2 linked regions of the Ovis aries genome follow. The protein of the gene in region 2 interacts with the protein of the main gene of each other region in a pairwise test. Links are inferred from orthologs where the notes say so. Each region holds a gene or a part of one and is shown on either strand. Other genes may lie near its edges. The genes, in order: GJA4 and OPRM1.

The links.
Region 1: the proteins of OPRM1 (region 2) and GJA4 interact in binary tests that used the Homo sapiens proteins (3 or more experiments, as listed by UniProt). The link is inferred for Ovis aries from reciprocal best matches to the Homo sapiens genes OPRM1 and GJA4.

Annotation. Positions count from the first base shown.
Region 1 is NC_056054.1:9,838,450-9,842,804, forward strand, and holds GJA4 (gap junction alpha-4 protein), read left to right. Parts: upstream 1-1,261; 5' UTR 1,262-1,621; intron 1,622-2,408; 5' UTR 2,409-2,425; coding exon 2,426-3,427; 3' UTR 3,428-3,936; downstream 3,937-4,355. UniProt on the Homo sapiens protein: One gap junction consists of a cluster of closely packed pairs of transmembrane channels, the connexons, through which materials of low MW diffuse from one cell to a neighboring cell.
Region 2 is NC_056061.1:78,544,225-78,548,713, reverse strand, and holds the start of OPRM1 (mu-type opioid receptor), read right to left. Parts: upstream 3,100-4,489; 5' UTR 2,927-3,099; coding exon 2,634-2,926; intron 1-2,633. UniProt on the Homo sapiens protein: Receptor for endogenous opioids such as beta-endorphin and endomorphin. Receptor for natural and synthetic opioids including morphine, heroin, DAMGO, fentanyl, etorphine, buprenorphin and methadone.

The sequences.
Region 1 (4,355 bases), on a different chromosome or scaffold from region 2:
CCAAGGCCGTACTGACTCTGTGTACTGCTGATCTGTGATTTCGTGGGTTTTGGTTTTGTTTTTTCGCAACTTTGAAGTATCCCTGACTTGTTTGACATTCTTTGTTCCAACAAGATATAAACTGTGCTGAAAAATCGTGCTTCTCCCGAGCAGTTGCACCGAGTTATCAGAGGCTGTCTCCTGGGCAAGAATAGTCAGTGTGGCTCAAATAAAACTCTTTTCTATTCCTATTATAGACTCCTGATTATTCCCATCCCCCTGGCTAATGCTGTCTCCTCCAGGAAACATTCCTAACTGAGCCCCCCCGAGTCAGGGGAACTTCGCATCTTTACTCTTCCCCAAAGGCCGATGGGCACAGTTCCTGCCTGTCTCCTCTAGCCAGTGAGAGTCACAGGCCAGGGACCACATCTGGCTGGTTTATGCTCAACTCCCCAGCTCCACAGACAACGCCTGCAGCCCATGGATGTTCACAGAGAGGATAATGCCTGAATGAACAACAGGCGGGCCCTGCCCACCTCTTCACTTCTTTTGGATGCCTCCCCCCACCCCACGTTTAGAGCCATGAGGATGAGATCCAAGCTAAAGGTCAGGAGAGTCCCCTCCCCCCAACCCCCCAACCCTCGTCCTGTCTCTAGTGGACCATGGCATTGCTTGCCCTCTGATGGTGCAGCCTTCCCAAGAATGGGGATGTTTAAGATCTCAGCAAGAACAGGGGCTGACTAGAGACCCCCAGCTTCACCACAGACACTAGAGAAGGCAGATTATAACCCTCTCTCTCCCATGCCCTAAGGAGGCTTCATTATCAAGTCCTGGTATGGCTCTGGGCACACAGTGGCCACCCCACAGGGGTGTTCTGCCTTCTCAACAAGAGCGAGAGGCCCCCACGGTCAAGGAGCTGCCCTTCCCAGGAGGCCCCATACCCTCACCCCCACCTGCCCATCTCTCAGAGCCTCCCAGGACAGCTGCCTGAGGTCAGAAAGTTCTGGCTGTAATCCTTTCGCATGCAGCCACCCTGGAAAACATCATCCCTCCGGAGACCTCTCTGTTGCACAGCCAAAGAAGCAGTCTCTCCCCCCACGCTCCTCGCCCCCGACTCCCATTGGCACCTCCCGGGCCCTTTTCTTGAGAGTGGCTTCAGGGAGCCCGCGCCTCCCGTCCCGCCCCCAACCTCCCGCTCGGAACAGCGCCCGCCGCCCGCCCGCCGCTTCCTGCCCCCACCCCGCCCCGCGCGCTATTTAAGGCGCCCCCGCCGCCCGGCGCCGTCCAGCAGGGCTCCCGCGGGCGCCGCTCCGGCCGACTTGCGTCCCCTCCGCCACCTGGGCCGCCCGCAGGCCGGCGGTGAGTTGGGCTGGGGGGCGCGCTGGGGCGCCACCTGCCAGCGGACCAGCGGGCAAGGGACAGGGGGCCACCTGCCAGGGGCGGAGGGCTGCTGCGGGGGGCACCCACCGCGGGCCTGGCTCACCCAGCCTACCTGGGCTGGCCTCAGAGGCTAAGCCGGGTTCCTGCCGTCTCTCGGTGGGCCCTCATAACCCTCGGAAGTAGGAATGTTAACATTTTCCAGGAGAGGAGACTGAGGTACTAAGGGGCCGTCACTTCTCCGAGGCCTCCGTTAGCAGGAGAGGTAGGATTTGAACCCAGGTCTGGCTCCAGAGCCCGGCTGTAAACCGCTTTGCTCCCACAAAGAAGCACCTCCCCATCCCCTTTCCCCCTCCTTCCTCCCCCCACCGGACTCTCCCCCTGAAGTTCTGGGAACTCTGTGGCCTGTGCCTCCACCCTGCTATGACAGTTCCTTTCAAGAGCCTAGAATCCGGCAGCAACAGCTTTGGCAGGGGGAGGGAGTGGAGAAAGGGGACCCGAGATCAAGAGTGGGTACTTAAGCGGCAGGTGGCCGCTATTGCTGACAGGTGGAGCTAATGCAGGATGCTGCCTTGAGTGTCTAGCATGCCTTCACCAGGAACTCAGAGGTTAGAGCAAGGCCAGATGGGCGAGAGCTGCTGGGGAGGGAGAGGGGACCTGAGGCTTTGGGCCCCCTGGGAAGCTGGAGTTACCACCACCACCTCCCCCTCACTGTCTGGGGACAGCCTGTCCTGGGCCGAAGGGAGGAGGGGCATGGCGCAGCTGTGTGACCTTGGATGGGTTCCTCAAATTCTCTGTTCCCTTAGGCTCAGGAGGCTCACCTGGATCCAGAGCTCCTTCGGCTGGGTCAGGAGGGACCCAGGTGGGACTAGGCAAGGCTCCTAGCTGTACCCTTGCCAGAGCTTAGCAGCCATCAGCCAAAGGCCTGCTTTTAGTCCTGCTGGGTGTGAGCCCCCAGGCCAGTCCCTTCCCCTCCGGGAGCTCAGTTTCCCGCAGACCTGTTGCTAGGACAGCTGAGAAGGACACTGACCGTGTCTTATGCCTCCCTGCAGACGGAGGCCCGGGAGCCATGGGCGACTGGGGCTTCCTTGAGAAGCTGCTAGACCAGGTCCAGGAGCACTCGACCGTGGTGGGCAAGATCTGGCTGACGGTCCTTTTCATCTTCCGCATTCTCATCCTGGGCCTGGCCGGCGAGTCGGTGTGGGGCGACGAGCAGTCGGATTTCGAGTGTAACACGGCCCAGCCAGGCTGCACCAATGTCTGCTACGACCAGGCCTTCCCCATCTCCCACATCCGCTACTGGGTGCTGCAGTTCCTCTTCGTCAGCACGCCCACCCTGGTCTACCTGGGCCATGTCATCTACCTGTCTCGGCGCGAGGAGCGCCTTCGGCAGAAGGAGGGGGAGCTCCGGGCGCTGCCAGCCAAGGACCCACGCGTGGAGCGGGCGCTGGCAGCCATAGAGCGCCAGATGGCCAAGATCTCGGTGGCGGAAGACGGTCACCTGCGGATCCGTGGGGCGCTGATGGGCACCTATGTGGCCAGCGTGCTCTGCAAGAGCGTGCTGGAGGCGGGCTTCCTGTATGGCCAGTGGCGTCTCTATGGCTGGACCATGGAGCCTGTGTTTGTGTGCCAGCGCTCACCCTGCCCCTACCTCGTGGACTGCTTCGTCTCTCGCCCCACGGAGAAGACTATCTTCATCATCTTCATGCTGGTGGTCGGACTCATCTCCCTGGTGCTCAACCTGCTGGAGCTGGCGTACCTGCTGTGCCGCTGCCTCAGCCGGGGGGTGAGGGCCCGGCAGCGCCAGGATGCGCCTCCAGCCCCGGGCACCTCCTCGGAGCCTTACGCCGACCAGGTCTTCTTCTACCTCCCCATGGGCGAGGGGCCCTCATCCCCGCCATGCCCCACCTACAACGGGCTGTCGTCCAGTGAGCAGAACTGGGCCAACCTGACTACAGAGGAGAGGCTGGCTTCTTCCAGAGCCCCCCTCTTCCTGGACCCACCCCCCCAGACTGGCCAGAAATCCCCCAGTCGCCCCAGTAGCTCTGCTTCCAAGAAACAGTATGTGTAAGGGCCTGAGGCTTCCATCACCCCGCAGCGGGGCCTGGGAAGTCTTGCTGCCTTTAATGCAAGGTTCCACGGAGATGGCTGGGGGAAACAGGTGCTGGCTGGCCAGACAGCCTCCTTGCATGTTGTTCTTGACACCTGCATCCTTCCTAATGACCAGAGGGCACCACACTTTCCCCTCCAGAACGTGGCTTTGTCCCAAGCATGGACAGAGCCAGCGTGGGGTGCTCTTAGCCAAGGGTGTTTGAGCCCTTTGGTCTTTTTCACCTGGTTCAGAGGGATTCGGAGACAACTTACCCCACCCCCACCCCCGCGGCAGATTCACCTCCACCCAGGCTGTCTGCACACCCTGTCCTCTCAGGAAAGGCTGGTGGAGGCTGCTGGGTCAGCCTTGATCACACACACAGAGCCTGTGCTGGATCTGGCCCTGTCAAGGGGAGTGGGGTCTTATTCTCATCACTCCTTCCTACTTCCACTGTTTATCCTTCTAAAATAAACAGGACTTGATCACAAGTGAGGTGTGTGTTGATACTGTCATGATGTACCTTTGCATGGGGGGTTGGAGGACAGTTGCTTTGCCCACGGTTCCTTGCCTCTGCAATCCCAACACCAGCCAGCGCCTTAAACCCTCAAACTCCTACGTATCACCTCTCAGCAGCTCTGAGTCCTGAACACTGCCTTCTGAAATTATTTGCCTCAGCACCAGACTCTTTCCATCCTCACTGTCCCAGCCCCTTCAACCTGTCCATTAATCAGTGGCCTAAACAGTGTCTGTCCTCATCCTGCCCCCCGGCCATCCAGCGCCCCGGCCATGCTCCCCACTGCAGTGTGCTTCCTTACTGGACACTGCTCCTCACCTGCCCTGGGCTTCCCTGGTGGCTCAGAGGGTAAAGAATCTGCCTTCAATGTGGGAGGCCCAGGTTCAGTCCCTG
Region 2 (4,489 bases):
GTTGCTGATGAAGGTATGATGATGATAAAGTGCAGACACAGGATAGAAAATGACTAATCAAGGCATCCATAGTATCTTTGTTGTTATTTTCCTGCCATTGTCATTGGCGCCTCATGTTTTAGTCAATGTGTTAAGACATTCTAATAAATGTTATGTTGATCTGGTTAGAAAACCCTAACTACTTAATAATTCAAAAGTATTTGTTGAATTTTGAATAATAGCAGGAAGTAAGCATTTTATCTCAGTACTTGAATAGATACAGCATTATATCCATCTTTTTAACAGAGGCAATAATGTCTGTGAAATGATCACTTTGTAGTGAAATAACCATAGCGTGGAGATAGTCTAGTTAAATATTCTCAGCTAAATAGATATAGTTCCTTCACTCCCCAGAGGCTTCATTGGTCACTGAACTATTTTTCTGTTTCACAGTCATATTCCCAGAAGATTATCTGACCTTGGAATTAAACACCTGACTTGCACAGGTGGGTGTTTGAGGTGCCTTTTCAAACAGTACTGTATTCTGGTTGGAACTTTAAGCACAGAAAAATAAAGCATAATATCATGTTCTCAGTAAGAGACAAGGTCACCATCCTTTTCCAAGTCATCAAAAGTTCAGAGGTAATACCTTTAAAACAAAATCACCCAACTAGTAATATCTTTAGCACAAGAATAAAACCAATCTGTTTATTCCACAGCCAGTTGTTGCTCTATTGGCTCTCTGCTTTATAGAAAAGCATAAACCAGAGAGGAGAAAAATTAGGAAGGAAAATACCAAGAGAAACAATAAAAGCATAAATGATTATGTTTTAGATGACAGAATTTCAAGATGGTTTTATAATTTCTTTTCGTCCTTCATTCTCCAGGATTACAGAAGTAAATTTGGATTAATTTATTATTTCCAAGTTATTATCTAAACTACTCTGTCAATGTTGTAGTTGAATTAACTCAAATCATGAGCCACTCTAAAACAGAAAATACATTGGCTAAGAGCAATTCCATGGTATTGAACTAATGAACTTATCTGTCCTTGGAGAAATAATTTATATTTTCTGTGCCACATTTTACTCACCTAGCCTAGAAAACCTCTAGGTTTCCTTCTGGCCCTATAAGCTTACGAGTCCATGAATTTTCTTAGGAGAAAGAATAAATTTTCCCTTCATGGGCAGGGATTTAGTTATTATTTTTATTATCATAAATGCAAACTAAGACAGTTTTCAGATTTGAGAGGAAGCTTTGTATTGAATTACATAAAGTAAATGTTTTAAAAATAAATTTTCCCATTGATTCTCTTCCTGCATTTTTCCTTCTGTTGTTAGCTTTCTTTGCAATAGATGGTGCTCTTTACTCAGAGAAACTGCTTATATGATTCTTCATCAAAAGATCAAGAAAATTAGTTTTACTCTTTAACAATCATTAATTAAAGAAATCAGACATAAAAAGCAGAAAAAATCGATTACAAACAACTTGCACCACCTCAATAAAGAAAGCATAACGGAGAAAACGACTGTTAGATGATTTAAGAGCTCCAGTGAAACCTACAATACTTGCTGAATAGATGAAGCCAATATTGCAGCTAAACATGGAAGTGCCATAGTAGGAAGAAAACCCTAAATCAAGAGCCGTGTTAAAGTGTTAAAATAATCATATACTTCTCAAAAGTTAAAACATAGTATTCCATATTAACATGTAGGATTTGAATAGGCACATCAACACCAACACAATCTACATCAATCTCAGCTAATATTGAACTTGTATATTTTCTGCCAAATAAACCTGGAACATCTGGACAAATAGAAACTGGGCCACAAACTCTTCTGAAATAATTTCACTGGATGAAGACACTTTTTAATTTCTCTAGAGCAACCATTACAACTTCCTATGCAATAGTTTATCATCCAGAATTATGTTGTTTTTGGTCACTTCTGACTTGTTTCAACTTTTGGGGGCACTGAAAAACAGTGCTGCAGTTCCGAACCACCTGACCTATTCCTGATTCAGTTTGACTCCCCTAGCAGATCTGTAGCTGCCAACTGCAAACTGGTCTCGGCAACACAAACAGCACCATTTACTGTGGCAAGACACCAGAAAAACTTCCTCTAGGAGTGAGGAAGAGCAGGGCACAGCAATGGTGCAGCAAATACACTGGAATCAGCAGGAGCAGGAAAGTTGCCAAGGTTCATCTCTGAAAAGAATAGAGAAGGAAATCTGCCCCTTCTGCCTCCAATTAAGGATAAAATAACTAGAATTTATCTTCTATTTTCCACAAATTATTGTTTCCACAGCTCCTTTGGAAGGGGCTATGGGACACTGTGGTTAAGAGCCCAGAGCCCTTCTGGCTCAGTATAAACAAGCTGTAAGATAGAGGCTTTTTTTTTTTTTTTTTTTTTTACCAGAGCTTTATAGCTTTTACTAAAGCAACTTCTCTGTTTCTGAAATTTTGGATTCTGTCTTTATTAACGGAAGGAAGAATAGAAAAGTAAGTTTTTGTACTCAAGCTGCAACCACTCTGTCTAATTTCACCTCTACATTCTCCCTTGTTTTACCTCCTTTTTTCTCATCCTCCCCCCACCCCCAACACCCTTTATGCCTCTATTAGCCACCGAAATCCGGAGCCCTGTGGCCTTCCTTACCTGACAATCACATACATGACCAGGAAGTTTCCGAAGAGCCCCACCACGCACACGATGGAGTAGAGGGCCATGATGATGATGGCCGTGATCATGGAAGGGCTGCCGGCCGAAGGGCACAGGCTGTCGCTCCCGCCCAGCTCGGTGCGGTTCGGACCGCATGGGTCGGACAGGTTGCCTTCTAAGTGGGAGAAGTTGACCCAGGAGCTGGGACTAGGTGCTGGGGAGCAACTTGAAGGGTGTGTGAAGGGGTCAGTGCAGTTGCTGGCGTTCGTGGGGACGGCGCCGCTGTCCATGGTGCTGACCGCCGGCTGGGACCACGTTGGGAGTAACCGCGAGCACCCTGACTTTTCGGGTTCCACGCGTGAGCCGCTTCGTCTCGCCGCTGCCACAGCTCCTGTTATTTCTTACAGCGACCAACCCCGGCGGAGCCAGAGAGGAGCGTCAGGCAGGAGAGAGCTAAGCATCTGACATTATTCTCTGCTTGTAGCCCCCTCCCACCTTAGAAGTACACAGACAGGGCTCCAGCCCCACACCGCCGGTGGGGAAGGAGGGGAGAGCTGTGCGGGATCCGGAGGCTGGAGCCGAGGGAGGAGAGAGAAGGGGATTTTGCGCAAAGCGATCCAACGACTCTGTTTCCCCACTCAGCACTCCTCTGTGCAAACACCTCTAAGGACAGGCAGAACCAGAAAGGGGGTTGGAGGGAAGGGGTTGAGAGTGAGACAAACGGAGAGTTTTTGGCGGATGCAAAGCATTAAGGAAGGGGGCTGACCTCACATTTTCCAGCACCGTTTTCTCAGTGTACCATGACAGAAAAGACACTGGTCTGACGCCATCCTGACATCCCAGACCCCAGAGCTCTTCTGTCTCTGCTGCCTAAGCAATGATTTGGTGCAGGGTACACAGAATCCTCTTCTGTAGCCCTCCTTGCCTCAGACTTTTTCTGTCTGTAGAAAAAGTCACCATGTGTCTCTTTACTAATGGAGAATTTCCAACCCTTCAACCCTGCCTGAGACAAGAGTGATTCCTTTTCTGAAAAGAGATGAAAAACAAACTTTGAGAGAGGATATCTATTCCCTTTACTTCATATTCCCTTTTTTCTCCTGGAGCAGAAGTTTTATTTGCATCTAATTTCTAGCTTGCTGACAAAGAGGCACAGGGAGTTGTGGCATCCTGAAAAGCCAAAGAAAGACAAGGGTGACATTCCATATATAAATCTCATAGGTTTGGAGTTATTAATTATTGGTTTTATCTCCAGCCTTCCTACATATGCTTCTCAGTAGAAGACTGTGAAAACCAAGTGTTTACATTATTTCAGTGTATTCTAGTGTAGACATTCCAGGAAAAACTACATAGACATCTGGAACTGGAATGGCTCATACAAGGTTAAGGATTATTGTTATGCTTTAAAATTTGATAATTCACTTTTAAATCCACAAATGCTTCTACTTTATTAATAAATTTTGCTTTGTTTGTCTTTGTTTTTTGGTAATGTTAACACAAATTCTGAAGTAATTCTCATTTCTATTTATGGGTATATTTGTCTGCATATGTATCTTTTAACTACTAACACTATCATTAAAGATCCCCAGTTGTTTGTAGAAAGCTATATCCTTGGTGAACAGGGATCAAGGTGAGGTAGAGAGCTTGGAAAGAAGATTTAATTCCAATATTATTTTTATCACTTGTCTGGAAAACATAATACTGGTAAACTCCACTAATCATAGATAATTTTGCCAATGTTCAGTATTTTTATCTTTTTTTATGTTGAAGGATAAAATTTCAGCAATAACATGTTATAAAGATCTCCTACAGAATAATAAAAATGCTTCACCACCTATTCTCCTATGAACTAATGT